Stegostoma tigrinum: one gene and its partner. The protein of the gene in region 1 purifies or fractionates together with the protein of each later gene. This does not show direct contact. Links are inferred from orthologs where the notes say so. Each region holds a gene or a part of one and is shown in the gene's direction. Other genes may lie near its edges.

Region 1 (16,594 bases):
TTCACTTGTACTATACGCCTACAGCTCACCCTTCCCAAACCTGCTGGAAAGCCCCAGGTGCCCAATTCACCAGGACCCTGGACCCAGCTCATGCCAAGTGAAGTGCATCCCAGCCGAATAAGCTGCTATTATCCACAACACTGGTGCCAGTCCCCAACGGACTGTGCCCTATTCCTCCCACATCAATCTTTGAGGCAGAGACAATAGGAACTGCAGATGCTGGAGATTCCAAGATAATAAGATGTGAGGCTGGACGAACACAGCAGGCCAAGCAGCATCACAGGAGCACAAAAGCTGACGTTTCGGGCCTAGACCCTTCATCAGAGAGGGGGATGGGGCGAGGGAACTGGAATAAATAGAGAGAGAGGGGGAGGCGGACCGAAGATGGAGAGTAAAGAAGATAGGTGGAGAGAGTGTAGGTGGGGAGGTAGGGAGGGGATAGGTCAGTCCAGGGAAGACGGACAGGTCAAGGAGGTGGGATGAGGTTAGTAGGTAGGAGATGGAGGTGCGGCTTGAGGTGGGAGGAGGGGATGGGTGAGAGGAAGAACAGGTTAGGGAGGCAGGGATGACCTCCCACTACATCACCTCCCTCACCCCCATCCCAGGCCCCAAGATGACTTTCCATATTAAGCAGATGTTCACCTGCACATCTGCCAATGTGGTATACTGCATCCACTGTACCCGGTGTGGCTTCCTCTGCATTGGGGAAACCAAGCGGAGGCTTGGGGACCACTTTGCAGAACACCTCCGCTCGGTTCGCAATAAACAACTGCACCTCCCAGTCGCGAACCATTTCAACTCCCTCTCCCATTCCTCAGACGACATGTCCATCCTGGGCCTCCTGCAGTGCCACAATGATGCCACCCGAAGGTTGCAGGAACAGCAACTCATATTCCACTTGGGAACCCTGCAGCCAATGGTATCAATGTGGACTTCACCAGCTTCAAAATCTCCCCTTCCCCCACTGCATCCCAAAACCAGCCCAGCTCATCCCCCGCCTCCCTAACCTGTTCTTCCTCTCACCTATCCCCTCCTCCCACCTCAAGCAGCACGTCCATTTCCTACCTACTAACCTCATCCCACCTCCTTGACCTGTCCGTCCTCCCCGGACTGACCTATCCCCTCCCCACCACCCCATCTATACTCTCCTCTCCACCTATCTTCTCCTCTATCCATCTTTGGTCCGGCTCCCCTTCTCTCCCTATTTTTTTCAGAATCCTCTCCCTATCGCCCTTTACTGATGAAGGGTAAACCTCCAGCTAAACCTCCATTCTAGTCATAGCATCATGGAGTCATGCGGCTCAGAAACAGACCCTTCAGCCCATCCATCCATGCTGACCATGCTCCCAAACTGAACTAGTCCCACCAGACTGTGCTTGGCCCGTATCCGTCCGAACCTTTCCTCTTCATGAACTTAATCCTGCATCCACCACTTCCTCAGGAAGTTCATTCCACACACGAACCACCCTCTCTGTGTAAAAAATTAGCCCCCACACCTTTCTTAAATCTTTCTCCTCTCACCTTAAAATTATGCCCCGAAATCCCCCACCCTGGGGGAAAGGCACCTCATCCATGCCCCTCATGATTTTATAAACCGCTGTGAGGTCACACCTCAAACCTCCTACACTCCAGTGAAAAGTCCCAGCCAATCCAGTGTTTTCCTGTATCTCAAACTCCCCATTCCCGGCAACGTCCTGGTAAATCTTTCCTGAACCCTCTCCTAATAATATCCTTCCTCTAACCAGAACTGCACAGTACCCCAGAAGAGACCTCACCAACATCCTGCACCATCTCAACACCTATTCTCAAAGGTCTGAGCGATGAAGGCAACCGTGCTGCACACCTTCTTAACCATCCCACCTAGCTGCGACACAAATTTCACAGAGTTATGTCCCTGAAGGCCTGGGTCTCTCTGTTCTGTGACACCACCCAAAGCCCAACCGCTTACCCTGCCCTCGTTACCTTGTCAGTGTTGGCCCTAATGTGGAATGGATAGTCAGGACTCACAGTATGGAATGAGGTGGGTACAAGGAGGGGTGGGGGGTTAGAACCAGTTGTAAGGTGTGGGGCAATGGTTGAAGATCGAGCCAGGACGGGAGGACAAGTGTCATTGACCCCCTGACTGATCTCTGCCAAGACAATGACGCTGAAGCAATCTCCCACAACAGGCAGCTCAAAGGGAAGATCACAATGCACAGTGGATGGGACAAATTGGATAGCATTCTCAAAGGCACCTTCTGGGCCGAATGGTCTCCTGTTATGTTGTATCTTTAGAGTTCCCATCCTTGCTTTCCAATGCAAACATGGTCTTCCCTGCTACCCGACATCAGGAATCTCCTGAAGCCGTGCACTCCTTCCAGATCGCTGCCCTCCTCACATTCTGCACACAGGTACGTCCACATCCCAGCCCACTGCGATCCCTGCCTCAAACTCTGGGAATTCTCATCCGAAACCGCTCCACCCCTTTCACCCTCACTCTCTCACTGCCTCACTCTCTCACTTTCACCCTCACTCTGTCACTGCCTCATTCCCTCACAGCCTCACTTCCTCACTCTCTCACCACCTCATTCCTCACTCCCTCACTCTCTCACCACCTCATTCCTCACCCCCTCACTCTTTCACTGCCTCACTCTCTCACTGCCCCAGTCTCTCACTCTCACTCCCTCACTACCCCATTGCCTCACTCTCTCACTGTCTCGCTCACTCACTATCTCACTCACTGTCTCACTGCCTGGCTTCCCCACTGTCTCACTGCCTTACTCTCTCAGTCTTTCTCTCACACTCTCCCTCTTCTCTCTCAGTGTCTTGCTCTCTCGCTTTCACTCACTTTCTCTCACTATCTTTCTCTTTCTTTCTCACTGCCTGACTTGCTCACTGTCCCTTTCATTATCTCTCTCTCTCTCTATGCCCCTCCTTTAGGACCCTCCTCTGTAACAGATCTGTTTGCCTCACCAATGTTCTCTTGAGCTAATACCTCCTTAAATGGCGAGTGTGAGATTCAGAGTGCTCGCTCTCCCGTTAATCTGGGATATTTCCCTGTTTTCAAGCTGCTACATAAAGCACATTGTTGATGGTGAGATCTGAATATTTGGTGACTTCAACAGGAAGGCCAGGCTGGGTCGAGCCTTGTACTTTTATTGAAAACACATCCCACTGTCAGTTAAAAATAACTTCCATGGATCTTTTAGACACCTCCAGCCTCGAAAATCAGGGAATCTTTTCCAAAGATATTGGCTGGGTGTAGCTGGTGGGGCCCCTGGGTGCCCAATGGAGGTGGTCGTGGGTTTGGAAGGTGCTGTCTGAGGATCTTTGGTGAATTTCTGCAGTGCATCTTGTAGATAGTACACACTGCTGTTGCTGAGCGCCAGTGGTGGAGGGAGTGGAGTGTTGAAAGTGGTGGATGGGGCACTGGTCCGGGGCTATGCTTTCTCCTGGATGGACACGGACTCTCACTGCACAGAAACAGACCCTTCGGCCCAACTCCTCTGTGCTGGCCAGGTATCCTAAAGTGATCTAGCCCCATTTGCCAGCATTCAGCCCATATCCCTCTACACCCTTCCTATTCATGTACCCAACCAGATTCCTGTTAAATGTTGTAATTGTTCCAGCCTCCACCACCTCCTCTAGCAGCTCATTCCACACACACACCTCCCTCTGTGTGAAAAAGTTGTCCCTTAGGACCCTTTTAAATCTTTCCCCTCTCTCACCTTAAACTCATGCCCCTCTGGTTTTGGATTCCTCCTGCCCTGGGGAAAAGGCCTTGTCTATTCACCCTGTCCATGTCCCTCAGGAATTTATAAACCTCTATAAGGTCACCCCTCAGCATCCGACGCTCCAGGGAAAATAGCCCCAGCCTATTCAGCCTCTCCCTGTAGCTCAAGCCCTCCAACCCCGGCAATACCCTTGTAAATCTTTTCAAGCTTCACAACATCCTTCCCATAGCAGGGAGACCAGGATTACACACAGTGCTCCAATAGTGGTCCGAACCAATGTCCTGTAGAGCCGCAACGTGGGGGTTTGGATGTGTGCGTGGGATAGTGGGTCTGAGGGTCAGCACTCTGGGGAGTGCGGGTTTCCCTCCCTCTCGAGTCCTGCCCCATGAGTACAGACTGGGAGCTCCAGCTCTCTGTTAAATGCTGTTTGAAAGTTTACAATGTACCCTGTGTGAACCCTCCCCGCAACTCGATAACGCTCAGCCAAGGGCTCCACTTCGCATCGCGAGAGCTTATATCACAGCACTTGCTCAGACTAAAGAAAAGTACATCTCCCTCTACTCTTTTAAACTGAAAGGAAAGCTCTCTCTACACTGTCCCCATCACACACTCCCTGGGACAGGGACAGCACGGGGTTAGATACAGAGTAAAGCTCCCTCTACACTCTCCCCATCAAACACTCCCCAGGACGGGGACAGCACGGGGTTAGATACAGAGTAAATCTCCTTCTACACTGTCCCCATCAAACACTCCCCAGGGACAACGTGGGGTTAGATACGGAGTAAAGCTCTCTCTACACTGACCCCATCAAACACTCCCAGGACACAGACAGCATGGAGTTACATGCAGAGTAAAGCTCCCTCCACATTGCAGATTGATTGTAACACAGGTAGAGTGTGGGGTGAGAATATGCCCCGGTCTCTGACAGATGGGAAGTGTGTGTTGGGAGGAGCAGCCTGTGACTGAGTTGGAATTCCTGTAGGGTGCAGCCCGCCTCTCCCTCGGGAGCTTCGTCAGACTCCCCTGCATTCAGCACGGGATATCGGACGGAAATGAAGTCTCTGTATACTGGGAGAGGCGGGTCAGGCGCCCATTGTTCCACAGCACGCAAAGCTGCTCTCAGAACCGAAGAACAGATCAGGCCTGCAGCATCAGAGCCTGGGTCACAGCCCTGGGCAAGGGTGGGGGGCTCGACAGGCCGACCGTCACACACAATTACTCAGAGAGACAAGAGATTGGAGATACAGTGTCCTGAGAGGGGATGGAGAGAGAGAGAGAGAGACCATGAGACAGAGAAACAGACAGAGGGAGAGACAGAGGGAGAGACAAAAGACAGAGAGAGAGTGGGAGAGACAGAGACAGAGAGAGAGAGGGAGAGAGGGTCAGACAGACAGAGAGAGGGGGAGAGAGAGAGAGAGAGACTGGGGGACAGAGAGAGAGAGAGAGACAGAGAGAGAGAGATTTAGAGAGAGACAGACAGATAGAGAGAGAAGGAGAGAGACAGAGACAGACAGAGAGAGAGACAGACAGACAGAAAGGGAGAGAGACAGACAGAGTGAAAGAGAGACAGAGAGAGAGAGAGACAGAGACACAGAGAGAGAGGGAGAGACAGACAGACAGGCAGAAAGAAGGGGAGAGAGAGAGAAAGACACTGGGGGACAGAGAGAGAGAGAGAGAGAGACAGACAGACAGAGAGAGAGAGAAGGAGAGAGACAGAGACAGACAGACAGACAGACAGAGAGAGAGAGACAGACAGTGAGAGAGAGACAGAGAGACAGACAAAGAGAAATGGAGAGAGAGAGAGACAGAGAGAGAGACAGACAGACAGAGAGAGAAAGAGAGAGAGGGAGACAGAGAGACAGACAGAGAGAGGGAGAGAGAGAGACAGAGAGGGAGAGAGAGAGACAGACAGGGAGAGATAGAGAGACAGACAGACAGAAAGAGGGAGAGACAGACAGAGAGAGGGAGAGAGAGACGGAGAGCGCGAGACAGAGAGGGGGGGGAGAGAGAGGGAGACAGACTGACAGAAGAGAGAGGGAGAGAGAGAGAGAGAGAGACAGAGAGAGAGAGAGGGAGAGAGAGAGACAGACAGACGGGCAGAGAGAGAAACAATGAGAGTACCACTTGACTGGAAGAGGTGTGGAGAGAGATTAGAGAGACGGATGATACTAATGACAGGGAATGAGAAAGGAAGAAATGGAGAGGAGACAGAGAGAGCATTCAGTGAGGGGAGTGCAGGCTGACAGCAGTGAGGGGAGTAGGGAAGGGAAGGCTGATGGGTGAGGGCGTTCAGTGTGAGGAGTGAGGGGTATGAGTTCTGAAGGGGTGTGAGGGGGTGAGGGGGAAGGTGAGTGCTGTGTGAGGGGTAAGTGGGCTGAGATAGGTTTGAGTGAGCGCTGAGGGAGAGTCTTTGATAGATCAACAATTTTCAGTTCCACTCACCAACTCCCCCTCCTCACCCCCATTTCTCCACACCTGTTTCTCCCCCTCCCCCTGTGTCCCCTCCTGTTCCCCCTCCCCATTTCCCCCTCCCCATGTGTCCCCTCCTGTTCCCCCTCCCCATGTGTCCCCTCCTGTTCCCCCTCCCTATGTGTCCCCTCCTGTTCCCCCTCCCCATTTCCCCCTCCCCATGTGTCCCCTCCTGTTCCCCCTCCCCATTTCGCCCTCCCCATGTGTCCCCTCCTGTTCCCCCTCCCCATGTGTCCCCTCCTGTTCCCCCTCCCCATTTCGCCCTCCCCATGTGTCCCCTCCTGTTCCCCCTCCCCATTTCGCCCTCCCCATGTGTCCCCTCCTGTTCCCCCTCCCCATGTGTCCCCTCCTGTTCCCCCTCCCCATTTCGCCCTCCCCATGTGTCCCCTCCTGTTCCCCCTCCCCATGTGTCCCCTCCTGTTCCCCCTCCCTATGTGTCCCCTCCTTCCCCGTTTCTTCTCGCTGTTCCTCCCGTTTCCCCCTCCCCATTTCTGCCCCTTAACCCGTGTACTCTCCTGTTTCTCCCCGAAACCCCCGCACCTCCCCCCCCCCAGGCCCCGCCCCGGCCGTGCTGCATCGAGGGGCTTAATGTTTTCCAGATTGTGGAGAGTGAATTGATCCCACTGTCTCCTGGCTCCAATCCAATGAGGAAGAGAGAGAGAACACTAACAAGGCCTAGCCTTTCCCAGGGCCAGGATTAACGCTTTCCTCGGCCTCACCGCGGCATCGGGGGTGTGACAGGAACCAGAAACCCCACTCAATCCCAGCCCTTTCAATCCCGTAATGCCCTTGCTCAGCTAAACACCTCCCCCACCCCACCTCACCTCATCCATCCACTGAGGGCTTCTGTATTCACTCCCAGGATGTGGCAGTCTCTGGGCTGGGCCCAGCATGTCTTGCCCCATCCCTAGTTGCCCCTTGAGAAGGTGGGGGCGGGGGGTGAGCTGCCTCCTTGAACCGCTGCAGCCCAGCTGTTGTGGGGTGACCCTTAGGGAGGGAATTCCCAGGATTGTGACCCAGGGCGAGTGAAGGGACGGCGATACATTTCCACGTCAGGGCAGTGAGGGGTTCGGAGGGGAACGTGCAGGGCGTGGTGGTCTCGTGTATCTGCTGCCCTCGATATAAAAATGGCGGAATCGCCTGGACGGTGTCAAGTTTGAGATTTCCTGTCCTCGTCTCTGGAGTAGAGTCGGGGAAGGGGGGGGGGGGGGCGCGCGGTGGTAGGGTGTGGGGGTGGGGGCAGTGAGGACCCAGGTTTGGAAACTGCTGTAGATAACTGTAGGAAGATGGCCCAATGCGGTTTGGGATAGGGTTGAGCCTGGCAGGGGGTGGGGGAGTGCCTGGGGGTGTGGACTTGGGTGGGTGTGGGGGGCCGTTCTTATTGTGTTGAAATGTGGGGCTAGCACCGAGATCACATACTCATCGTCAGGTGCACTGAGGCTGCAGGAGATCATAGAACCTTCTGGATCTGTCCCTCTGATGGTCGTTACGGATGATATTGGAGGCTAGGAAGTGGAGCCTGTGTATGTGACCAATGAGAGGGTCTATGGTGGTCCCAATTTTGAGCTGGAGGAAGTTTGTACCTGCCTAGAAATGGGGTTTGGGTTGATTCACGAAGTAAGAGTGAGAGACCTGGTGGTGAGCTCGGGGGTTGGGGGGGCGGTGGTGGTGACTGGTTTCAGTGTAGGGACAGCATCTTGTTTTTGGATAATACCCCTGGGGCATCTAGGACCTGGGAGGGTTCGCCGAACGCTCTCGCGATGCCTGCGGGAGAAAGGCACAGGAGCAAGCGAAGAGCCAGTTTCCTCTGGATCAGGGCAGAGACATCAACTGAGCAGAACCCAGACTGCGTCCAGTTCTGGGCCCCACACCTCAGCAAGGGGCACTAGAAAAATTCCATCGCTGTGCTTCCACTACATTCTCCAGATCCAATGAAGTGCCATCAAACAAGCATAAACATCGTTAAAAGCAGTTCTACAGACTTTCCGAACTAACTCCAATAGACTGGGGATGCTCACAGCAGAGAGAGGGACAGACTCTCCCCCTGAAGATGGAGGGCTCAAAGATCAGCGTGCAGGGTGTCTAAGGAAAGAGGCAGGAGGTTTAGTGGGGATGTGAGGAATCCCAGCGGTGAAGGGGAGCCTGGAACTCCCTGCATGTCAGGGTAGGAGAGGCAGAAGTCCTCAGCACATAGACAAAGTGTTCAGGTCTGTACTTGTGATGCCAAGTGCTGGGACATGGGATTAGAGCAGTGAGGTGCTTCAGAGAATGCCTACAGTGTGCAAACAGGCTATTCAGCCCATCAAATCGGCAATGACCCTCCAAAAGAGCATCCCATGCAGACCCACCCATCCTCTTCCTGTGAGTGTGTGTTTACCATGGCCAATCCACCCTAACCTGCACGTCAGTGGGCTGTGGGAGGAAACCTGAAACCCAAGCAGGCACGGGGAGAATGTGCAAACTCCACACAGAGGGTGGAATCGAACCCAGGTCCCAGTGAAGCAGCACACAGCCCCTTCACCCTGCTCCACAACCAGGTTCAGCTGCTTGGAATAAATTCATAGAAAGAGAGGGGCTGAGACTGTGTCACCATCTGGTGAGACTGGTGGGACTGACATATGAAGAGATACTGCATTAGGACTATATTCACTGGAATTTAGAACAATAACGGTGGGAGTTCTCATCAAAACCTATATCACTCTGGCAGGGCTGGACAGGGGTAAACATCGGAAAGATGTTCCCGAAGATCGGGGAGTCTAGAAACAGGAAGGATACAACGGTAATCCATTTCGGACTGAGTTGAGGATAAGCATCTTCACACAGAGAATGGGGGGCCTGTAGAATTAACTATCACAGAAAGCAGGTGAGGCCCAAACATTGAATCTTTTCCAGAAGGAATCACACAGAGTTCTTGGGGTTAAAGGGATCAAAGGGATTTTGGGGAGAAAGTGGGAACAGGGAATTGAGATAATAAAATGTGAGGCTGGATGAACACAGCAGGCCAAGCAGCATCTCAGGAGCACAAAAGCTGACGTTTCGGGCCTAGACCCTTCATCAGAGATCAGCCATGATCTCACCAAAGAGCACGATAGGCTCAAGGGGCTGAATGGCTTACCCCAGTTCCCAGTTTCTATGTTTCTAAGTTGTATAAACCCTTCCCAAGTTTTCATAATATCATCTTTAGACCTCCTTTCCATAGAAATTAATCGTGGCTTTTTAATCCAAAATGGGGGTCTGCGGTTTGCACTATTTGAGGTGATGGTGTGGGCCTTAGTCTGATGGGGTGTGAGTACGTAAACATTGGGGGTGAGGGTCACTCATGTGGAGGAGCTTGTTTCTTTTTAATTCACTGATTCAATGATGCCATCACTAGCTAAGCCAGCATTTATTACCCAGGGGGCAGTTCAGAGTCAATCACATTGCTGTGGGTCTGGAGTCACGTGTAGGCCAGACCAGGTAAGGATGGCAGTTTCCTTCCCTAAAGGGTATTAGTGAACCAGATGGGTTTTTCCCTGACAATTGTCTTATGGCCATCATTAGGCAGTACATTCCAGACTAATTACACCGACAGCCCTGGGGAAATTGTGAAAATACCACAAGGACGTTGGCTCATGTGTGGGTGGCAGTTTAAGACTGTACGTGTGTGTGTGTGTGTGTGTGTGTGTATGTGTGAGGGAGTGAGAGAGAGAGGGTGAGTGTGTGTGTGAAAGAGAGAGGGTGCGTGTGTGTGTGTGTTTGTGTGTGTGTGTTAGAGAGAGGGAAAGAGAGGGTGTGTGTGAGAGAGAGAGTATGTGAATTGTGTGTGAGGGAGTGTGTGTGTTTGTGAGTGTGAGGGTGTGTGTGTGAGGGAGAGAGTGTGTGTGTGTGTGAGGGAGTGAGTGTGTGTGTCTGTGTGAGGGAGTGAGTGTGTGTGTGTGAGGGAGTGTGTGTGTCTGTGAGTGTGAGGGTGTGTGTGTGAGTGTGAGGGAGTGAGAGTGTGTGTGTGAGGGAGGGAGTGTGTGTGTGAGGGAGTGAGTGTGTGTGAGGGAGGGAGTGTGTGTGTGAGGGAGTGAGTGTGTGTGAGGGAGTGAGTGTGTGTGAGGGAGTGAGAGTGTGAGGGAGTGTGTGTGTGAGGGAGTGAGTGTGTGTGTGAGGGAGTGAGTGTGTGTGTTAGGGAGTGAGGGAGTGTGTGTGAGGGAGTGAGTGTGTGTGTGTGAGGGAGTGAGTGTGTGTGGGAGGGAGTGTGTGTGTGTGAGGGAATGAGTGCGTGTGTGTGTGTGTGGGAGTGTGTGTGTGTGTGTGAGAGAGGGAGTGAGTGTGTGTGTGAGAGAGGGAGTGAGTGTGTGTATGAGGGAGGGAGTGAGTGTGTGTATGAGGGAGTGAGTGGGAGTGTGTGAGGGAGTGTGTGTGATGAGCTTGTACCGTCTCTCTCCCCGAGTCAGCCTGATGCAGCTGTCGAAGGGTTAATGCGGTCTGGGCGAGGCTGCCTGTTTCGCTCAGGAAGGGGCTGCTTTGGGGAAGCTGTGCTGACCTCCCGAGGAGCCCGTTTACACTCTCCTCCCTCGAATGAACATCTCTGAAGGAGCTGGCACACAGCCCTGCTCCCCGACAGCAAACTGACCATCTCGGGGCAGGCCCCCAGCTCACTTTGGCTGGAGGGGAGAGAGAAACAGGCAGAACTTCGCAGGACACCATTGGAACAGGCTTCGCAAACTCATTCGATCCTCTCCAACATCTCCCGGTGGCACTGCATTCCCAACCTAACACAGAAAGTACAGGGAATGTTGTAGATAAAGGACCAGGTAAGAATGTAACCCCGGGTCTGCTCAAAACTGAGCTTCTCTCCTCCAGCTGCAGCTCTCCCTCACAGCGAGATATTCCTGATCTTTAACCATTTCAATGTCTCAGGTTTGACACGGGAGGGATGGATGGATGGATGGATGGAGGGAGGGGGTGAGGAAGGGAGTGATGGATGGAAGGAGGGAAGGAAGGGGTGGTTCCCAATCTCTCCCTCCCCTCACTGCAGTATTCACTGCACTAACGCTGTAGAGTCAGTCTTTATACAGGAACAGAGGGACTACCCCAGGCTGGGTTATTAACCAGGACACATCATCCAAATCTGACTGGATTCTGCTTTACCCCAGTCACCAAATCGTGGGTCAGTACTGAGGGAGTGCCGCACTGTCGGAGGGTCAGTACTGAGGGAGTGCCGCACTGTCAGAGGGTCAGTGCTGAGGGAGTGCCGCACTGTCGGAGGGTCAGTACTGAGGGAGTGCCGCACTGTCGGAGGGTCAGTCCTGAGGGAGTGCCGCACTGTCAGAGGGTCAGTACTGAGGGAGTGCCGCACTGTCGGAGGGTCAGTACTGAGGGAGTGCCGCACTGTCGGAGGGTCAGTACTGAGGGAGTGCCGCACTGTCAGAGGGTCAGTACTGAGGGAGTGTCGCACTGTCAGAGGGTCAGTACTGAGGGAATGCCGCACTGTCAGAGGGTCAGTACTGAGGGAGTGCCGCACTGTCAGAGGGTCAGTACTGAGGGAGTGCCGCACTGTCGGAGGGTCAGGACTGAGGGAGTGCCGCACTGTCGGAGAGTCAGTACTGAGGGAGTGCCGCACTGTCGGGGGGGTCAGTACTGAGGGAGTGCCGCACTGTCGGGGGGGTCAGTACTGAGGGAGTGCCGCACTGTCGGGGGGGTCAGTACTGAGGGAGTGCTGCGCTGTCGGAGGGTCAGTGCTGAGGGAATGCTGCACTGTCAGAGGGTCAGTACAGAGGGAGCGCTGCACTGTCGGAGAGTCAGTACTGAGGGAGTGCCGCACTGTCAGAGGGTCAGGACTGAGGGAGTGCCGCACTGTCAGAGGGTCAGTACTGAGGGAGTGTCGCACTGTCAGAGGGTCAGTACTGAGGGAGTGCCGCACTGTCGGAGAGTCAGTACTGAGGGAGTGCCGCACTGTCGGGGGGGTCAGTACTGAGGGAGTGCTGCACTGTCAGAGGGTCAGTACTGAGGGAGTGCTGCACTGTCAGAGGGTCTGTGCCATTTGAGTAATGCACTGTGGTAATTGAGTCTTTGCCATGATCCATTATTCCCACGGTCTAATTTTGTGTTTCAGTTGCATTTAAAAATCCCACGAGCTGTCTCTTGGATCTCGGGATTTTCCGTCCGTGTTATTTTCCTGGAATTAGTTTTGCCATGAGGGGAAAAGTCTTCGTCCCGAGAGCGGGGAGCCTGTGGAATTCTCTGCCAGGGAAAGCTTTTGAGGCTACAGCATTGAATGTTGTTAAGGAATTAGATATCGTTCTTACAGCTAAAAGGATCAACGGGAATCGACGGGGGCGGGGGGGAAGCAGGAACAGGGAACTGAGTTGGATGATCAGCTGTGATTGTATCAAATGGGGGAGCAGGCTGAATGGGCCGAATGGCATATAGCTGCTCCTGGTTTCTACGCCCAGGGTTGATATCCCATCCTCAATACAACTGCGCCCTGAACAGTTGTTGTAGGAGTTGGGATCTTGCTGTGTATCAGTCTGCCATGGCGTTCTGTAAGAAATGACCGCACTTGAAAGCACAGCTCACAGGTTCTGACATTTCGTGGTAACCTTAACTTTTTGAGTGGCCTCCCGTGCTGAAGGGGAACTTTCCTGCGCTATCCCTCTCTACCTGCCTTTCGCTGCGCCATCCTTCTCTACCTGGCAGAGTGGGATGGGGGTGGGGGTGGGTGTTGTGGAGCGCTGGGGGTGTGTGGGGTGGGCGAAGATGGGGAGGGTCTGCAACGCACCCGGATCCATTCTGATCCACCCGATCGCAGCCAGAGGATCTCTCACAACAGGCTTCTCCATCCCTGCTCCCACACCCTCATGTCTGCTCCCCACCCAGCGATCAAATCCCGGGCCCTGCCCTATTTCTGCCCCTCTGGCCCACTCCCTGAGGAAGGCAGTCAATGCCCTCCCCTCAGCCCTGGTGCGGCCCGTGAACGCCGATCACCATGCCGATGGACAGTCTCTGCTTCCGGAAGCTTCTGCCATGATGTGGAGCTATTATGGGGAAGGTTAGAGGCTGTTGTTGCTGGAGAATGGGGCAGTATATGGGAACCATGCAGAGGATGGTGGGTGGATGATCTACATCCCTCCCATAATGATCCCCACCCACCAGCTCTGAGTTACTCAGAGACTATGAGCCACAGAAAACTTCAATACAAACAGATTTCGGGAGTTGGGGGGTACCTAGTACATGAAACACAGCAAGCTAGTGCACAGGGGGCAGCAGGGAATCAGGAAGGGCTAAGGGAAAGTTGTCCCTTATTCCACAGGGATTGGAGCAAAGAGTACGGAAGTCTTATCACAGCTGTACAAGGTGCTGGTGAGGCCACATCTGGAGAACTGAGATAGCAAGGTGTGGAGCTGGAGGTACACAGCAGGCCAAACAGCATCAGACGAGCAAGAAAGCTGACATTTTGGGTCTGGACCCTTCTCCAGAAGAAGAGTCATTTCTGGAGAAGGGTCCAGAGCCGAAACGTCAGCCTTCCTGCTCCTCTGATGCTGCTTGGCCTGCTGTGTTCATCCAGCTCCACACCTTGCTATCTCAGATTCTCCAGCATCTGCCGTTCTCTGGAGTATTGTGAGCAGTTTGAGTCCCCCTGTTTAGGGAAAGATATTTTTTCATTGGAGGCAGTTCAGAGAAGGTTGACCACAGTAGTCCCTGGGATAGGGGAGTATTTATGAGCAAAGGCTAAACAGATTGGCTCATCATCACTGGAGTTTCAAAGAATGAGAGGTGACCTCATTGAAACAGATCAGATTCTTAAGGGACTTGACAGGGTAAATGCTGAGAGGATGTTTCCCCTCGTCGGAGAGTCTAGGACCAGAGGGCATTGTCTCAGATTATAGGGGCACCAGACTGAGAAGAGGAACGATGCCATCTCTCAGAGGTCTGTGCGTCTTTGGAACTGTGGGGGCAGAGTCCTTGTGTATATGTAAGTCTGAAACAGATTCTCCAACAGTTGGACAATGAGGGGTTACAGGGAAAGGGCAAGAAAGTGGAATGTGAGGAATGTTGGATCAGCTGCGATCCTATTGAATGGCCTGCTGTGTTTTTGTCCATTTCTCATGAGTGTTTCGGTTCTGTGTCAGTGAGCGGGACAGCGAGGGCATTTCTCAGCAGCTCCTCACTTTCTATAAAATTCACGCTCCAATTCGCACTGACAATCAGAATGGGCACTTGACCCCCCCCCCACGCTCGACACTTATCCTCCAGCACCCTAGACCCACTCCCCAATCTCTCAACACAATCCTAAACCTACCTCCCTCCACCAGACCCTTCCCCTCACACTCATTTCCCACTCCCCCAACTCTCTCCCCTAGAGCCCAGACCTAGAACTTCCACTTCACTGTGCATCCCACCCCCCAAATTAGCCCCACACTCCCACACCCCCACACTCCCACCCGCCCACCCCACAAATCAGCCTCACACTCCCACCCCCCCACCCCACAAATCAGCCCCACACTCCCACCCCCCACCCCCCAAATCAGCCTCTCACCCTACACCCCCACATTCCCCTTAGCCATTTACCCACTCACGCACAGTCATCAGAGAGCCCCTACAGTCTGGAAGCAGACCATTTGGCCCAAAAAGCCCACACCCTCCCTCTGAAGGCCCTCCCACCCAGACACACCTACCCCCTCCCCTATCCTGCATTTCCCACCCTAGACACTAATGGGCAATTTCCCATGGCCAACCCACCCTAACCTGCTCATCTTTGGACCGTGGGAGGAAACCCATGCAGACGCAGGGAGAATGTGCAAACTCCACACAGACAGTCACCCGAGGCTGGAATCGAACCCAGGTCCTTGGCCCTGTGAGGCTGCAGTGCTAACCACTGAGCCACCGTGCCATCCCAGTCTCCTTTCACACCCCCCCATCTTGTCCTTCTAGATGGAAGTGGTTGTGGGTTCGGAAGGTGCTGCCTGAGGATCTTTGGTGAATTTCTGCAGTGCATCTTGTAGATAGTACACACTGCTGCTACTGAGCGTCGGTGGTGGAGGGAGTGGATGCTTGTGGATGTGGTGCCAATCAAGTGGCTGCTTTGTCCTGGATGGTGTCGAGCTTCTTGAGTGTTGTTGGGGCTGCCCCCATCCAGGCAAGTGGGGAGTATCCCATCACACTCCTGACTTGTGCCTTGTAGATGGTGGGCAGGCTTTGGGAAGTCAGGAGAGGAGTTACACACCGCAGGATTCCCAGATTCCAGCCTGCTCTTGAAGTCACTGTGTTTACGTGGTGAGTCCAGTTGAGTTTCCGGTCAATGGCAACCCCCTGGATGTTGACAGTGGGGGATTCAGTGATGGTAACACCATTGAATGTCAAAGATTCTCTCTTACTGGTGATGGTCATAGCCTGGCATTTGTGTGGTGTGGATAATGGCAACACCCATCCACTTAACCATTATCTTTCTGGACTATTCCAATGTTTCTAAATTGTCAGCCTACCACTGGCAGCTGAGCAGAAATTCCCTAAATCATTGAGTTTAGTTCTCACTGCCAACCCTATTCTCTCGCTCCTTACTCCATCCCTTCTGCAGTGCGAGGCTGAACTCAACTCACATTCTCCAGGCCATACCTGACCTCAAGGAGAAAGTTGTGTTGTCTTTGAGACTGTACACTTCCCTTTACCCTGTCTCAGCCAATCAGGGGCTTCAACCCAAGTCCATCCCTCCGTCACCTTCAGACTTGACAGTTTAATGACTGCTCTCCCACGTTTGGGATTGTTACCAGTGTCTGAGCTCACCCCAATCCCTCCTACACTTGCTGACCAACAATGCCCCAATTTTCAAATCTCTCCATGGTTTCTCCCCTCCCTATCTCTGCAACTTCCTCCAGTCCCTAGAACCCTCTGAGATGCCTGCCCTTCTCTAGGTCTGGCCACTACAACAGGCCTGACTCCACCGTCGCCTTCAGTCGCCTGGGCCCCAAACTCTGTGGTTCTCTCCTCAAACCTCTCCATGCCCTCTCTCCTTCACTTTCCTCTAGCGTACAGAACGGTATCTCAGTGGCTAGCACTGCTGCCTCACAGCGCCAGGGACCTGGGTTCGGTTCCGCCCTCGGGCGACCGTCTGTGCGGAGTTTTAGATTCTCTGCGTGTCTGCGTGGGTTTCCTCCCAGGTTAGGGTGGGTTAGCTATTAGAAATGCAGGGACACAGGGATAGGATAAGGAGGTGAGTACGAGTGGGATGCTGTTCAGAGGATCAGTGTGGACTTGATGGGCCAAGTGGCCTGTTGCCACACTTTCGGGATTGTATAAAACACTGCTCTCTATTTGACAAAGCATTTAATCATCTGACCTAAAATCCCCTCATGTTTCTCTGTTGGAAATTGTTTGAGAATGTTCACTCGGACTATACAAGGTCTGGAGAGACTGCCTTGGGTAGGGTGGGCCCGTACTGTTTGGAG
Region 2 (16,243 bases), on another chromosome or scaffold:
TGGAACCTTTGTGGCTTTATTCTATTAATAGGTAAAGGGATTCCCAAACTTTAAAAAACAACCTAACTGTACCATAACCAAACTTGGGGGTGATTGTAACAGGTTCAAAACCACGGATAAACATTTGGTCATTATCATGTTGCTGTTTGTGGGCATTTGCTGTGTGCACATTGGTCTGAAATGGATGCAGCCTCGATACCATTACCACTGGAAGAAGAGGAGGAAATTCCCCAAGATGTTCTGGATGCAAGAGATGGGCCACGGTCCAGTACACGTACCCTGTCTGAGTCCAAGTCAGAGGAACCAGACCTGAGACGAAAGTGGTCCAAGTGAAGCTACAAATGAAGGACTGGGCCTACATCCCCAGACTTAGCGGGAGAGCGATGCAGTGATTGGAACCAAGGGGACCTCAATGACTAAGTGGTTGTTGAATGGGATTGTTAGCATGGGCTAATCAGGAAAGCCTTGGCTGACTGATAATAACTAGGAGATTAGAATCTCCTTGGTTGAGGACTGACTCCCAAGCTGGCTGGCTACAGCCAGTGTACTGTGTACGGTAAATAAAGGGTGACTTGGTAACAGGATAGCAGCCCCTTTGCAGTTATTTCAACTTTTTTTTTATTCACAGAATGAGGGTTTCATTGGTCAGGCAGCATTTATTGCCCATCCTTAATTGCCCAGAGGGCAGTGATAGTCAACCACATTGCTGTGGGTCCGGAATCACACGTAGGCCAGACCAAGTAAGGATGGCAGTTTCCTTCCCTAAAGGACATTAGTGAATCAGATTTTTTTTTTCTTGACAATCATTACATTCTTAATTCCAGATATTTATTGAATTCAAATTCCACCATCTGCCATGGTGGGATTCAAACCTGAGTCCCCCAAACATTACTTGGGTCTCTGGATTAACAGCCCAGCAATAATACCATAGGCCATCGCCTCCCCAGTATACTCCAGATATACAGGAAACAATGGACAGATTAAACATGAATGTAATGGATGGAGCTTCTGACTGCAGTGTTAGAAGGCAGGAGTTTGGCTGCAATACTGTCTGCGGGAATCAAAGAAGGTCAGTCTGTCCACACGAATTGAAAGGGATTGACATGCATCAAATCAGACAAAAGAAAAAGAGGCAAAGTTGACAGAAAGGACTATCAAAAAAAATCTAAATATTATTATATACAAATCAATATTTCTCAAATCACTGCTGTCATCTCATGAGATTTGGTGCCTTCTGCATCTTCTGATTTTCCATATAATCCTGTACTTCTCTATTTGAGTACGTGACAATAAACCTAATTCTAATTCTAATCAGTATACTCCTGATGATTTCTTGCTTTCGGTTTGAAATTTACCTTTTTATTAAATTTGAACCTACACTTGCTGTTTAATTAGAGGTAATGTTTTAGAACATTCCCTTGAGCATCTTAAACACTTCTGTAAAATCATAGTCTCTAGGCCAGACTTAAACATTGCAAATTCTAAATCATTAGAATCAGATTTTTTTTAAAAATAGAAAACTTCCAGCTATTCAACACATTATGTCCTGTGCTGGCAGACAAAGAGCTATCCAGCTTAACCATGCCTTCCCGAAGGCTGGAGGAGACTTGAAGGGGCATTGTTCCCAGAAGTAAATGGAAAGCCCAAGAAATCTTAGCCCATATGCAAATCATTAATAACACAATGACCAAACCAAGTGGTTAATCATCAAAGTTTTGGCACGTCGTTGATTTGAATGTTTAGGGCTGTAAGATAAATGGATAAAAAAGGCAAACTGAATTGGGAAACTTGATTAGAAGTATAAGTAATTGTGTTAATTATATTTTTCTTAACTTTATTGTAATTGAATATTTAAGATTGAATTTAATTATTAAGGTTCATGTTCTTTGATTTGTATTAAGTAAATAGGCTTGTTTAAACAGGGAGCCTTGTGGTTCCGTCTTTTATTAAATACTTGGTTTTTTTGGACTCTTCAGCAAGGTACTGAAAAACAGGGGTTTTGTTGCATTACTTGACTTTGTATTTCAGGAACTATTGCTGGGGGTCACATTCAAACTGTGGTCTAACCAGAATCCTGGTCTGATTGAGCAGGTTAGTATGTTACCTCTTGGGTGACATCATCAAAGGCTGGCTGGCAGAGATTCTGAAGCAGAGAGGTTGTGGTCTGCGTTGGAGCCAATGACATGGGAAGAAAGAGAAATGAGGTTCTGCAAGCAGACCTTAGAGAGTTAGATAGAATATTGAAAAGCAGGACTTCAAAGGTGGTAATCTCTGGGTTATTCCCAGTTCCAGTGTAAGTATGGGGTGGTATGGTCGCTCAGTGGTTAGCACTGCAGCCTCACCACCAGGGACCTGGGTTCGATTCCAGCCTCAGGCAACTGTCTGCGTGGAGTTTGCACATTCTCCCTGTGTCTGCGTGGGTTTCCTCCAGGTGCTCCAGTTTCCTCCCACAGTCCAAAGATGTGTAGGCTAGGTGGATCGGCAATTCTAAATTGCCTGTAGTGTTCAGGGGTGTGTGGATTTAGGGGGAGGGGGATGGGTCTGGGTGGGATGCTCCAAGGGGTGATGTGAACTTGTTGGGCCAAAGGGCCTGTTTCCACACTGAAGGGAATCTAATCTTTAAATAAAAGGAAACAGCAGATAATGTCTAGTTGGAGAGATTACAGAGGAGGGATAGTTTAGGATTACTGAGACTTTGGGACCATTTCTAGGGGAGTTGGGACCTGTACAAATTGGACAGGTTACATCTGAATCAGGGTGGAACTAACATCCTCATGGAGAGGTTTGTTAATGCTAACTCTAAATAAAAGCAAAGTACTGATGTTGGAAAACTGAAATAAAAGCAAAATCTTGGAGAAAATCAGTGGGTCTGCCAACATCTGTGGAGAGAGAAAAACAGTGTTAATGTTTATGAGTTTGCTTCATATCTTCTCTCTCCGAGACACTACCAGATGAGTTTCTCCAGCATTTCTGCTTTTTTCAGGCTCTGACAATGCTGAGAGGGCAGATTTAAACTAGATTGGCAAAGGGATGGGATCCTGAAAAGTAATTCAGACGGAAGAGAAGCTAAGGTAGAATTAAAATTTAAAATGTGAATAAATGAGTCTGGAAGGCAGAAGAAACAGACAAGATAAGAAAGAGATAACACAGTGTGAAGCTGGATGAACACAGCAGGCTGCTGCTCGGCCCGCTGTGTTCATCCAGCTTCACACCGTGTTACCTCAGATTCTCCAGCATTGGCAGTTCCTACTATCCCTGTAAAAAGATAAGAAAGAAATGAATTTAGCCAGGCTAAATGGAATTTATTTTAATGCAAAGTGCCTGAGGAATAAGGTAAATGAGCTGGTACAGTGTATTCAGATGAGATAAAGAGGGGGGTTCAAGAGGAGGCAAATTGTGATATTGGTCAGGAAATCAGTTACAGCAGTGAGGAGGGACAATATCTTTAAATAGTAATCAGATTAGGCCATATCAGTAGGAATAGAAACATAAAAGAGGAAAAGTTGGATGTGTACCACAGGCCTCTTTACAGTTAGGGAGAGATAGAACAGCAAACGTGATCAAATTTCAGGGAAGTATAGGAATAAAAAAGTAGTAATAGTTGGGGAATGTAACTACCCAAATATTAACTGGGACAGTTCTAGTATGCAAGTTAAAGAAAGAACAAAATTCTTAAATTCCATCCAGAAAAGTTTTTTTTAGCCTGGATAAAGGAAGCATGACAAAGCAGGAGGCGGTTCTGGAACTAATATTCAGAAATGAACCTGGACAGGTTAAAGGTCTAACAATACAGGAGCATTTTGGAGATGTGACCATAGCTCATTTGGCTTCAGGATAGTTGTGGAAAAGGATGATAATGGGCCAGAGGATAGGCTAAGATATGATTTGATCCAAGTGGACTGAATGCAGCTATTTACCGATAAGACATTGTCATAACAATGGAAGACATTCAAGCAAAAAATAGAAAGTCTACAGGATAAATTTCCAGGAAGACAAGAGGTAGGACCAGGTCCGAAAATCCTTGGAAGGGACACAAAAGCAAAGGCTTAGAAAATCCCTATGACAGCTCAATATGACAGAGTTGTAGAGGAATATATAAAGTGCAGAGGCAACACAAAAAGGAAATTAGAAAGCTATAGAGCATGCATGAGAAAGTGTTGTTGGGTGGTTTACAGGATATCCCAACCGGGTTCTTAAATGTATAAGCAGAAAGAGAATAATTAGGAAGACATTAGGCCCCATTAGGGAACATGGAGTTAGTCAGTGTATGGTCCCAGAAGACATAAACAGTCCTCAATGAATACTTTGTACGGTCTTCATAATGGAAAAGGACAATATCAGTATTTATATATCTAGATGGAAGACTGTGAAATATTAGTAGAAATGAACACAGAATGCCAGTGGAGGTACTAATGGGTTGAGCAACTGTAAAGTAGATTACTGTAGGCCCAGATGACAGTTGTGGGAGGCAAGGGAGAAGATATCAGGGCTATGGTAGTATATTTCAAAACCTTTCCAGCAACCATTGGAGTGCCAGAGAACTGGATATCTGCCAGCATTGTCCTATTATGAAAAAAAAGAGGAAGGGCTACACCAAGATATTATAGGCTAGTTGGTCTAACCTACATGGTGGGGAAGTAATTAGAGCAAATTCTGAGGGACAGTATATATCTGCGTTTGGAGGGACATGATCAGTCAAGATTGTCAATGTGTACTTGTTCAGGGAACAATATATTTGACAAATTTGATTGCATATTTTGAGGCGGTAACTAGGAGTGTTGATATGATCTACTTGGATTTTAACAATATTTTTAGTAAGGTTCTCTACAGCAGACTGGTCAGGAAAATAAAAATCCATGGGATCCATGACAAAGCAGCATGTTGGATCCAAAACTGGCTGAGAATCAGGAAGCAGAAGGTGATGGTAAAGGGATATTTCTGCGATTGCAAGTTTCGTTATAGTGAGGTTCCACAGGCTCAGTACTGAGGCCTTGCTATTTGTGGTGTATATTAATGATTTTATATGGGATCCACAAAACCCTGAAGGTGGTAGGATGGGTTAATAAGGTAGTCAAGAAGGCATAATGGGACACTTGCCTTTATCATCTGTGGCATAAGTTATAAGAACATGAAGAATATGTCAGAGCTGTAGAGAATGTTGGTTAAACCACAGCTAGAGTAGTTTGTACAGTTATGGTCACCACCCTAAAGGAAGGATGTGATTGCACTGGAGGGGGTACAGAGGGGATTCAGGATGTTGCCTTGGTTGAAGCTCTTCAGCTATGAATAGAGAAAGGATAGGCTCATTTTGTTTTCTTTAGAGTGGAGAAGGCTCAGGGAGAACCTGATTAAGGTGAATAATGTTATATGGGCCATGGGCAGCATGGATAGGAAGGTCCTCAATTGAAGGGTCAATGATGAGGGGACCAATAGCAAAGGGAAGGAGAATTAGAGGGATTTAACAGAAAAGACAAATTCACCAAGAGGTGATGGGAATTTGGGATGTGCTGCTTAGGAGGGCAGTAGAGGCAGGAAACCTCATAACCTTTAAGAAGCATATGGATGTACACTTGAAATGTCACAACATTCAAAGCTATGGGCCAAGTGCTAGAAAGTGCGATTGGTGTAGATAGGTCAGCACAGCCTCAATAGGCTGAGGACCTCTTCTGTGCTGTATGACACTATTTGAACTTCAATGCAGGGGGTAAAATGAAAACATTTGTGGATGATTTGAGAATTGGTTGGGTGGTTAATAGTGAGGAGGATAGTCATAAACTACAGGAAGATATCAATAGATGGATTAGGTGGGAAGAGCAGTGGCAAATGGAATTACCATCAGCAAAGTGTGAGACTTATGGAGGACTAACAAGGCAGGAGATTACACAATGAATGCTAGGATACTTCCACGTGATCCTTAAAGGAAGGTAGATAATGTGGTTAGGAAGGCGTATGGAATACTTGCATCTATTAGTGGAAACACAGAATACAAGAACAAGGAAGCTGTGCTGGGACTGTATAAAGTGCTGGTTAGGCCCCAACTGGAGGACTGTATGCAGCTCTGGTTGCCAGATAATAGCAAACAGGTGATTGTATGAGTGACGGTGCAAAGGAGATGCTGCCCAGGATGGAGATCCGAAGCTGTAGATAGACTGGGGTTATTTTCCTTTGATCAGTGAAGATTGAGAGGAGACCTGATAATGTATAAGATTATGAGGGGCATTGAAAGGGTGAATACAAAAATACTTTTTCAGTTAGTAGAGGGGTAAATAACAAGGAGGCATAAATTTAAGGTAAGGTGTAGAGAGTCAAGGATTTTTTGTTCACTCAGAGGTTTTGGAAATCTGGAAATCGTTACAGCACTTCAAAGAGTGATTGAGTCAGAAACTCTGGCAAGATTTAAGCAGTATTTACACATTTACTTGCCTTGTCACAACTTCCAGGATTCCCTGCCTGGAGTTAGTATTCCTGCATCAAAAGTTACTGGCATCCATCTATACTAGAATGAAATTTCCTCTGAGCTCTGGTGCTCTCTGATTTCTGTTGCAGCACTATTGGCAGCCTTGTCTTCAGTTACTGAGGCCTAATCTATGACAGTCTCTGCCTTAAACTGTTCTGACTCCTTATTGTCCTTTAGGATGCTGCTTGAAACATAACCCTCAGCTGTCCTAACATCTCCTTACATGGCTTGGTCTCCATTTTTTTGTTTCATATCACTCTTTTGAAGCATCTGAGAGCAACTCACTAGATAAATTTAAGAGTGATTATAGCACAGAAGGAGATTATTTGGCCCAGTGAGGCAGTAATGAAAATTACGTAGTCCTCCAGCCAAAAATAACTTGAGGAAAACCCACGGGATAGTGGAAACCTGGGACTCTCTACCCTAGGGGCTATTGAATCAGAAATTGTTGTTACGTTAGAGCAGTATTTTCATTTATGCTCTCGTTGCCTCCAGGGTCAAGTGCCAAAAGCTGGTAAATGAGATTAGTGTAGGCAGATCTTAATTGACCAACGTGGACACAGTGGGCCGAATGGCTCCTTCCTTCTGTGCTGTAAATTGATTAATCCGAAAATGTTTCGAGACAGCAAGTGCTTGAAGAGCTGGAATGCACTGGCTGAAAAAGGTGGTATTTGCACGTTCAATCGTGGCTTCGCTCAGGGACATGAATAAAAATCGAAGGGAAATAAGATGCTGGACTGTGGGGGGAAGGTGGAGAACTGGGACAGCTGGACGTAGATTGCTCGAGCGGAGAGCTGACACAGGCTTGATAGGCTATGTGGTCTCCTTCTTTTCTGCAACAATACAACGATTGTTTCTATCAAAATGTCTTTGGTTATGATCTGAATAGCTAGTTGAACGTGCAATCTTCAAGCTCTATTATTCAAAAAGTTATGATGTGCTTGAATGTTTTGGAAAAGAAAACACTTATGGCAGCGGTGGGATTCGAACCCACGCCATCGAAATGACTGGAGCCTAAATCCAGCGCCTTAGACCACTCGGCCACGCTACCGCAGTGGAGTAGGCGCTTCCCAGCCGGTATTTCCCAGTGTTTGCGCAGCCGCACTGTCTACGTTGTCTGTTGCTCTGGTTGTTTGATTCCGGTTTTTATAGGCGGTGCACGCGGCGCTCGCCAGCGGCCTGAACCCGGGATCAGGTCTTCACCTCCGTCCCCGATTGACGGTAGGTTCGGGTTGTTGGACATTGACCGGGTGCTTTCGGAACATTCGACCGGCAGACTCCAGGCGAGAGGCGTGGGCCCTCAACTGTCATCTGAGGGCTTGTCCTGCCTCAGGAGGTGGAGGGAGAGGGACAGGTGAAGGAAGGCCAGGACAGGTTTAGGTTTAAGTTTAGGTTTAGGTTTAGGCGATGGAGCGGTGGGAGTAGCATGGGGAGACAGACGGGACATAATTAGCAGTAGGGGCAAATAGAGCAGAGGCATGTTTGGCGTCGGTGGGGAATGGTCAGAGGGCAATATTTTATCTGCATGATCGTACTCCATAGGGTGTCAACTCTGATTGTTTTGATTTTAGGACTTGGAGGGTTTTTGAATCCACACACTTCCGTCTTGCAGATAGGGGTGCCACCAATAAACCCTTCCTTATCGAGAATGCTGGTCATCATAACCCAGAACTGAAAACATAGCCATACATAATGAGGTACAATATGCTGGAAAGAAGGGACCATACCCCACTACCTATGAAAGGAAAGTTAAGGCAAATGTCAGGAAGAACTTCACTCAAAGGTGTGGTGGTGGTGGTGTTGGTGTTGGACTGGGGTAGACAAGGTCAGAAGTCACACGACACCATGTTATAGTCCAACAGGTTTGTTTGAAATCACAAGCTTTCAGAGTGCTGCGCCTTCATTACTCAAAGGTTGACAGCTCAAATAAACTTTCAGAGATAATGGGAACTGCAGATGCTGGAGATTCCAAGATGATGAAATGTGAGGCTGGATGAACACAGCAGGCCAAGCAGCATCTCAGGAGCACAAAAGCTGACGTTTCGGGCCTAGACCCTTCATCAGAGAGGGGGATGGGGGGAGGGAACTGGAATAAATAGGGAGAGAGGGGGAGGCGGGCCGAAGATGGAGAGCAAAGAAGATAGGTGGAGAGGGTGTAGGTGGGGAGGTAGGGAGGGGATAGGTCAGTCCAGGGAAGACGGACAGGTCAAGGAGGTGGGATGAGGTTAGTAGGTAGCTGGGGGTGCGGCTGGGGGTGGGAGGAAGGGATGGGTGAGAGGAAGAACCGGTTAGGGAGGCAGAGACAGGTTGGACTGGTTTTGGGATGCAGTGGGTGGGGGGGAAGAGCTGGGCTGGTTGTGTGGTGCAGTGGGGGGAGGGGGTGAACTGGGCTGGTTTAGGGATGCAGTGGGGGAAGGGGAGATTTTGAAACTGGTGAAGTCCACATTGATACCATATGGCTGCAGGGTTCCCAGGCGGAATATGAGTTGCTGTTCCTGCAACCTTCGGGTGGCATCATTGTGGCAGTGCAGGAGGCCCATGATGGACATGTCATCAAGAGAATGGGAGGGGGAGTGGAAATGGTGTGCGACTGGGAGGTGCAGTTGTTTGTTGCGAACTGAGCGGAGGTGTTCTGCAAAGCGGTCCCCAAGCCTCCGCTTGGTTTCCCCAATGTAGAGAAAGCCGCACCGGGTACAGTGGATGCAGTATACCACATTGGCAGATGTGCAGGTGAACCTCTGCTTAATGTGGAATGTCATCTTGGGGCCTGGGATGGGGGTGTGAGTAATGAAGGCGCAGCACTCTGAAAGCTTGTGATTTCAAACAAACCTGTTGGACTATAACATGGTGTCGTGTGACTTCTGACCTTGTCTACCCCAGTCCAACACCAACACCACCACCACCACACCTTTGAGTGAAGTTCTTCCTGACATTTGCCTTAACTTTCCTCTCACCCCCATCCCAGGCCCCAAGATGACATTCCACATTAAGCAGAGGTTCACCTGCACATCTGCCAATGTGGTATACTGCATCCACTGTACCCGGTGCGGCTTTCTCTACATTGGGGAAACCAAGCGGAGGCTTGGGGACCGCTTTGCAGAACACCTCCGCTCAGTTCGCAACAAACAACTGCACCTCCCAGTCGCACACCATTTCCACTCCCCCTCCCATTCTCTTGATGACATGTCCATCATGGGCCTCCTGCACTGCCACAATGATGCCACCCGAAGGTTGCAGGAACAGCAACTCATATTCCGCCTGGGAACCCTGCAGCCATATGGTATCAATGTGGACTTCACCAGTTTCAAAATCTCCCCTTCCCCCACTGCATCCCTAAACCAGCCCAGTTCACCCCCTCCCCCCACTGCACCACACAACCAGCCCAGCTCTTCCCCCCCACCCACTGCATCCCAAAACCAGTCCAACCTGTCTCTGCCTCCCTAACCGGTTCTTCCTCTCACCCATCCCTTCCTCCCACCCCCAGCCGCACCCCCAGCTACCTACTAACCTCATCCCACCTCCTTGACCTGTCCGTCTTCCCTGGACTGACCTATCCCCTCCCTACCTCCCCACCTACACCCTCTCCACCTATCTTCTTTGCTCTCCATCTTCGGCCCGCCTCCCCCTCTCTCCCTATTTATTCCAGTTCCCTCCCCCCATCCCCCTCTCTGATGAAGGGTCTAGGCCCGAAACGTCAGCTTTTGTGCTCCTGAGATGCTGCTTGGCCTGCTGTGTTCATCCAGCCTCACATTTCATCAAATAAACTTTCAGATAGGTTAGCAAAAATGTAAACCATAAGCTCTTTCAAGCTTAAGAAATAAAGAAAGGGAAAAAATCCCTGAGAATTAAAGGGAAATTATTTTCTCTTTGAATGAGGCATCCAAATCTGATGCAGACAAAGAAATTTTTGGAATAATCATAGAATTACAGAATGAGAAAGTATTGAAGGAGTCACTTTGGTCCGATGTGCCTGTGCCACTTTTTAGAAAGAGCTGTATTACTAGTTGCACTCCCCTCTGTTTCCCCATAACCCAGAAAAATCTTTCCCTTCAAGTATATAAGCAATTGCTTTTTGAAAGTTATGATTGTATTTGCTTCTTACGCCCTTTCAGGCAGCATACCCTACATGATAACTAGCTGTGTAAAAAATGTAGTTTCTCATGTTGAATCTGCTTCATTTAATAGATGTTAATAAGGACAACTTGGCATGGTTAGATTCACAATTGTTGTTGCTGGTGCTCAGTTCAATGTTGGGTAGTCTGCTGGTTTCATTCCTTTGTTTAGACTTTAGTGTTTGGTATAACTGCGTGGCTTGTGAGGCTTCAGAGAGCATTTAAGAATTAACCACATTGTTGTGGGTCAAGTAGGCCAGGCCAGATAAGGCTGGCAGATTTTCTTTTCTAAAAGGAGGACATTAGATCCAGATGGTTTTTACAATCAACAATGGTTTAATGGTCGTCATTAGGATAGCTTTTAATTCCTGATTTATTAATCAAATTCAAATTTCACCATGGTTGGATTCAAACTTGTGTCCCCAGGGATCGGTTTGGATCTGTGCATTGTCACATTACCATCGGGTCACTGACTCCCTTTAAGGAGCATTTTTAAGGAGGGAATGCCAGAGCTTAAGCTGAGTAAGATGAAGGCACAACCATCAATAGAGTGATGAAAACCAGGGACATGATTGGTCAGAACTGGAGGTGAACAAAGATCTTGAAAGGTTGTCGGGCTATAGGCTGTTGCAGAGATAGGAACCATTGTGTGATTCAGGTGATGCTTACAGATTGTTAACTTGTGCAGGTGGAGGGGTCCAGAAGTACCTTGCAGGTCTTTGTTCACAGTAGGAGATTGGCCCTTTAGTTGGATTAATTCTTGTAATCAAAAGGACTAAATATGCCTTTAGAATAGAGTAAGGAATAAGACCATAAGATGTAGCAGCAGAAGTAGGGCATTTAGCCCATAAAATCCACTTCACCATTCAACGAAATCATGGCTGTACTTGTAATTCTGAACTCCACTTTGCTCCCTTTTCCCATAACCCTAGATTCCCTGACTGATTAAAAATGAGACCATTTCAGTCCTGAATATACTTAATGACCCACCCTCTACAGCTATCTGTTTCATTACTCTGAGAGGAGAAATGCCTTCTTATCTGTCCTATCTGGGTGACCCCTGATTCTGAGATTATGTCTCTCATTCTAGGTTCTCCCACATGAGTAATCAAAACCTATATTCCCTGTAAACCACGTGACCACTCTGATGTTCAGCGACTGGCATAAACATGCCAGTCATGGCATTGACTTCTGTTTCCAGAAGTTGCTGCCACTCACACATTTCAGGAGTTCATGCAGTTCACAAAATTAGAGGGAAACCTGATCAAGACCCCTAGGAATCTTAAATGAAATCAGAAAGTGCTGGAGAAACTCAGCAGATCTGACAGCAGGTCTGAGAGAAAAACAGAGTTAATGTTTTGAGCTTAGTGAAACTTCATCAGAACTGGAAGGGTCACTGGGCTGTAAATGTCAACTCTATTATTTCTCTGTACTGATTGCTACCAGACCTGCAGAGTTTTTCTAACAATACCAAAATGAACTAGAGGAGGGTATAGATGGTCTGATTAGCAGGTTTGCAGATGACACTACGATTGGTAGAGTGGCAGATAGAGAAGGGGACTGTCAGAGAATGCAGCAAAATAGAAATAGATTGGAGAGTTGGGCAGAGAAATGGCAGATGGAGTTCATTCCAGGCAAATGTGAGGTGATGCATTTTAGAAGATCCAATTCAAGAGTGAACTATGTGGTAAATGGAAAAGCCTGGGGAAAGTTGATGCACAAAAAGATCTGGGTGTTCAAGTCCGTTGAACCCTGAAGGTGGCAACGCAGGTTGATAGTGGTCAGGAAGGCATACGGCATGCTTTCATTCATCGGATGGGGTACTGAGTACAAGAGTTGTCAGGTCATGTTACAGTTGTATAGGACTTTGGTTCGACCACATTTGGAATACTGTGTACAGTTCTGGTCGCCACATTACCAAAAAGATGTGGATGCTTTGGAGAGGGTGCAGAAGAGGTTCACCAGGATGTTGCCTGGTATGGAGGGTGCTAGCTATGAAGAGAGGTTGAGTAGATTCGGATTATTTACATTAGAAAGACGGAGGTTGAGGGGGACCTGATTGAGGTCTACAAAATCATGAGAGGTAGAGGCGGGCACGATAGCGTCATTTGAGATGTATCTAGACAGATACATGAATGGGCAGGGAGCAGAGGGACACAGATCCTTGGAGAATAGGCGACATGTTTAGATAGAGGATGTGGATCGGCGCAGATTTTAGGGGCTGAAGAGCCTGTTCCTGTGCTGTAATTTTCTTTGTTCTTTGTTCCTGTTTTTTTGTTTCAGGTTTCCAGCATTAGCAATTCTTTGTTTTATTTTACCCTACGAATCGTATAAAAACAAAGAACAGTATAGCACAGTAACAGGCCCACCCAGCCTGCACCAACATATGACACTTTTTGAAACTTAAAACCTTTTTTTGCTGTGCAGTCTGTGTCCCTCTATTGCCTGCCTATTCATGTATTTGTCAAGGTGCCTCTTAAAAGTTGCTTTTGTATCAGCTTCTGTCACCCGCCCCCGGCAGTGCAATCCAGGCACTTAGCCACCTTCTGTGTAAAACAAAATGGTCCTCTGTCATCTCCCTTAAGCTTGCCCCCTTTAACCTTAAACCTGTGACCCCAAGTAATTGACATTTCTACCCAGGGAAAAGGACTTTGACTATCCATTCCATCCATGCCTCTCATAATTTTGTAAATTTCTATCAGGTTGTCTCTCAGCCTCTGGCATTCAAATGAAAACAAACCGAGTTTGTCCGATCTCTCCTCATAGCAAATACCCTCCAAACCAGGCAACATCCTGGTAAACCTTTTCTGTACCCTCTCCAAAACTTCTGCATGCTTATAGTAGTGTGGTAACCAGAACTGTACACAGTATTTCAAACGTGGCCCTAACTAAAGTTCAATGCAGCTGCAACATTACTTGCCAATTTTTATACTCCATACCCTGACCAAGAATGCCATATGCCTTCTTGACCACCTTATCCACTTGGTGTTGTTACTTTCAGGGAACTATGGACCTGTACGTTTAGATTGGTCAGTGTGTTAATATTTCTAAAGGTTCTGCTATTTCCTGTGTAAATCTCTTTCAGCATTAGACCTTCCAAAATACATCACTTCATATTTGTCAGGATTCCATCTGCCATTTCTCCGCTCAACTCTCCAGCCTATCCTGCTGTATCCTCTGACAATCCTCCTCACTATTTGTAGCTCCATCAATCTTTGCGTTGTCCACAAACTTACTAGTCAGACCACCTATATTCTCCTCCAAATAAATTATTTACTGAAAACAACAGGGGTGCCAGCACTGACCTCTGCCTTACACCACTGATCACAGATCTCCAGCCAGAAAAACACCCTCCCGCTGCTACTTTTTGTCTTCCATGACCAAGCCAGTCCTGTATCTGTCTAACGAGCTCACCATGGATCCCATGTGACTTCACCATCTATATCAGTCTGCCATGAGAGATCATGTCAAAGGCCTTTCTAAGGTCCCTGTAGACAACTATCCTAGTCCTCATGAATCATCTTTGTCACTTCCTCAAAAAACTCAGTCAGGTTTGTGAGATACGACCTCCCCTGCACAAAGCCATGCCTGTTGCTAATAAGTCCATGTTTTTCTAAATGTGATTGAATCCTGTCTCTGAAAATCTCCTTCAATAATTTCTCTGCCACTGATGTAAGAATCACCAGCCTAAAATTTTCCACATTATCCCTGGTGCCCTACTTAAACAAAGGAAAAACATTGGTTACTCTCCAGTCCTCTGGGACCGATTTTCTGTGACTAAAGAGGATGCAGAGATTTCATATAAGGCCCCAAAAATTTTCTCCCTGACCTCCATCGGTATTCTGTGAGGATCTCCTCAGGTCCTGGGGACTTGTCTACCTTAATGCTTTTCAAAACACCCAACACAGTTTTTGTATTGACAATTTCTATATGTTTCAATAGGGTCGCCTCTTGAACTTCTAAATTCCAATGAGTACATGAGAACCCACTCAAGCTCTCCTTAAAGAACATTCCTCCATATCCAGGATCAAATAGTCTTCTCTGACCTGCCTCCAATTAAAGTACAACTTATCTTAGTTAAGGGCACTAAAACTGTTCTCAGTATTCTGGAAGTGAAGTTCATGTTTTGAGTATTGAAGGTGTATTCCAATTTGAGTTACTGACACTAAGAATAATTGAAGCAAATCTCCATCGAGAGAAGTTTAAAAAAAAAGCTGGAAATACTCAGCACATAAGGCAACATCTGTGGATGGAAACAGAGTTAACATTTCAAGTTGGTGACGTTTTAGCTAGTGAATATAAGCTGTTATGTAGAGACCCAGATAATGGCAGATGGTGAAATTTGAATTCAATAAATATCTGGAATTAAGAGTCTAATGATGACTGTAAGTCTAATGTTGATTGTTGGGGGAGAAAAATCCGTCTGGTTCACTAATGTCCTTTAGGGAAGGAAACTGCTATTCTTACCTGGTCAGGCCTACATGTGACTCCAGACCAACAGCAATATGGTTGACTCTTAACTGCCCTCTGGGCAATTGGGGATGGGCAATAATTGCTGCCTAGCCAGCGATGCCCTCATCCCATGAATGAAAAAAAAAGTGACTGCTTTTTGTGCTTTTATCTTTCAGTAGCCCACTTACATAGAAGGAACACAGAATGTGGATTTTTGATTCTATTCTCAGAGTTGCTTCATCTTCCCAATTTACATGTCAACTTCTGATCATTGTGAGCTGCTTGTTGAAGACTTTCTGAGACCTGTGGAGTCACTGCTGTTGTAAGTGTTGCCACACTTCTGTTAAATAATTAGGGAACTGATTTGTGTGGATAATAAAAATGGGATCGATCATTTGGGCAAAATGGCCTGTTTCTGTGATGTATTTATATGCATAAATTTGTTAACAAATGTAAATTACTGCAGGTGTTGGAAATCTGAAATGAAAATCGAAAATACTGACCGTTCTCAGCAGGGCAGGCAGCATCTCTCTAGAGAAAAAAAGATGAGTTAATGTTTCAAGTCTGATGAATGTACTGAGCTGAAATGTTAACTGTTTCTCTCTTAACCTCAGAATCATGGAATCAGGTTAGCATAGCATTATTTCTGATGTGTACTTCATATTTTACGTTTTTAAATCAATTTGTTGAATTTGGCTGTGGCACAGTTTGAAACCGGCACAAGAGAAACATGGGAAATATTACATTTCCAAGTTACATATGCTGTTGGTCTTTTGGTAGATGCTTTTAATTTAAATCACAAAGCAAGCTGCCTTAAAGTCTTTCTTTTTGTTTTTATGGAGTGGCAGTTCAACAACAATTATTACACTTCTAAGCACATTAATGTTTAACATATATATACTTCAAAAAGGTTCAGATTCTGGCTTGTATATTATCTGAGCCTTATGTGCAGCTGTGACATTTGAACTGCTTGTCCCATCCTGTGGCTTTCACCCTTGCACCTAGATCATTAAGAACAGTGAGTGCAGCTAAATAAATAGACATTTCCATTCTGCAAATTTATTACTTGGGTGAAGTGTTAAGTCATAGAAATTATCTAAAGCAGGGATATTTGGCTTTGAATGTGGAATGATTTACTCTGGCAATATTTTTTTTCCCTTTTGTATAATTCAGAATAGCAGTGAGGGAATGGGATTTGCTGAGTTTTTTTAAGGGAAGGGGT

What was found.
Region 2: the proteins of hspa12b (region 1) and eef2k purify together in Homo sapiens (affinity purification with mass spectrometry; 3 studies listed by BioGRID and IntAct, with this or other methods). This does not show direct contact. The link is inferred for Stegostoma tigrinum from reciprocal best matches to the Homo sapiens genes HSPA12B and EEF2K.

Annotation. Positions count from the first base shown.
Region 1 is NC_081354.1:187,829,474-187,846,067, forward strand, and holds the start of hspa12b (heat shock 70 kDa protein 12B), read left to right. Parts: upstream 1-10,645; 5' UTR 10,646-10,963; intron 10,964-11,232; exon of another isoform or gene 11,233-11,319; intron 11,320-16,594.
Region 2 is NC_081376.1:34,081,015-34,097,257, forward strand, and holds the start of eef2k (eukaryotic elongation factor 2 kinase), read left to right. Parts: upstream 1-7,571; 5' UTR 7,572-7,678; intron 7,679-15,197; 5' UTR 15,198-15,343; intron 15,344-16,243. UniProt on the Homo sapiens protein: Threonine kinase that regulates protein synthesis by controlling the rate of peptide chain elongation.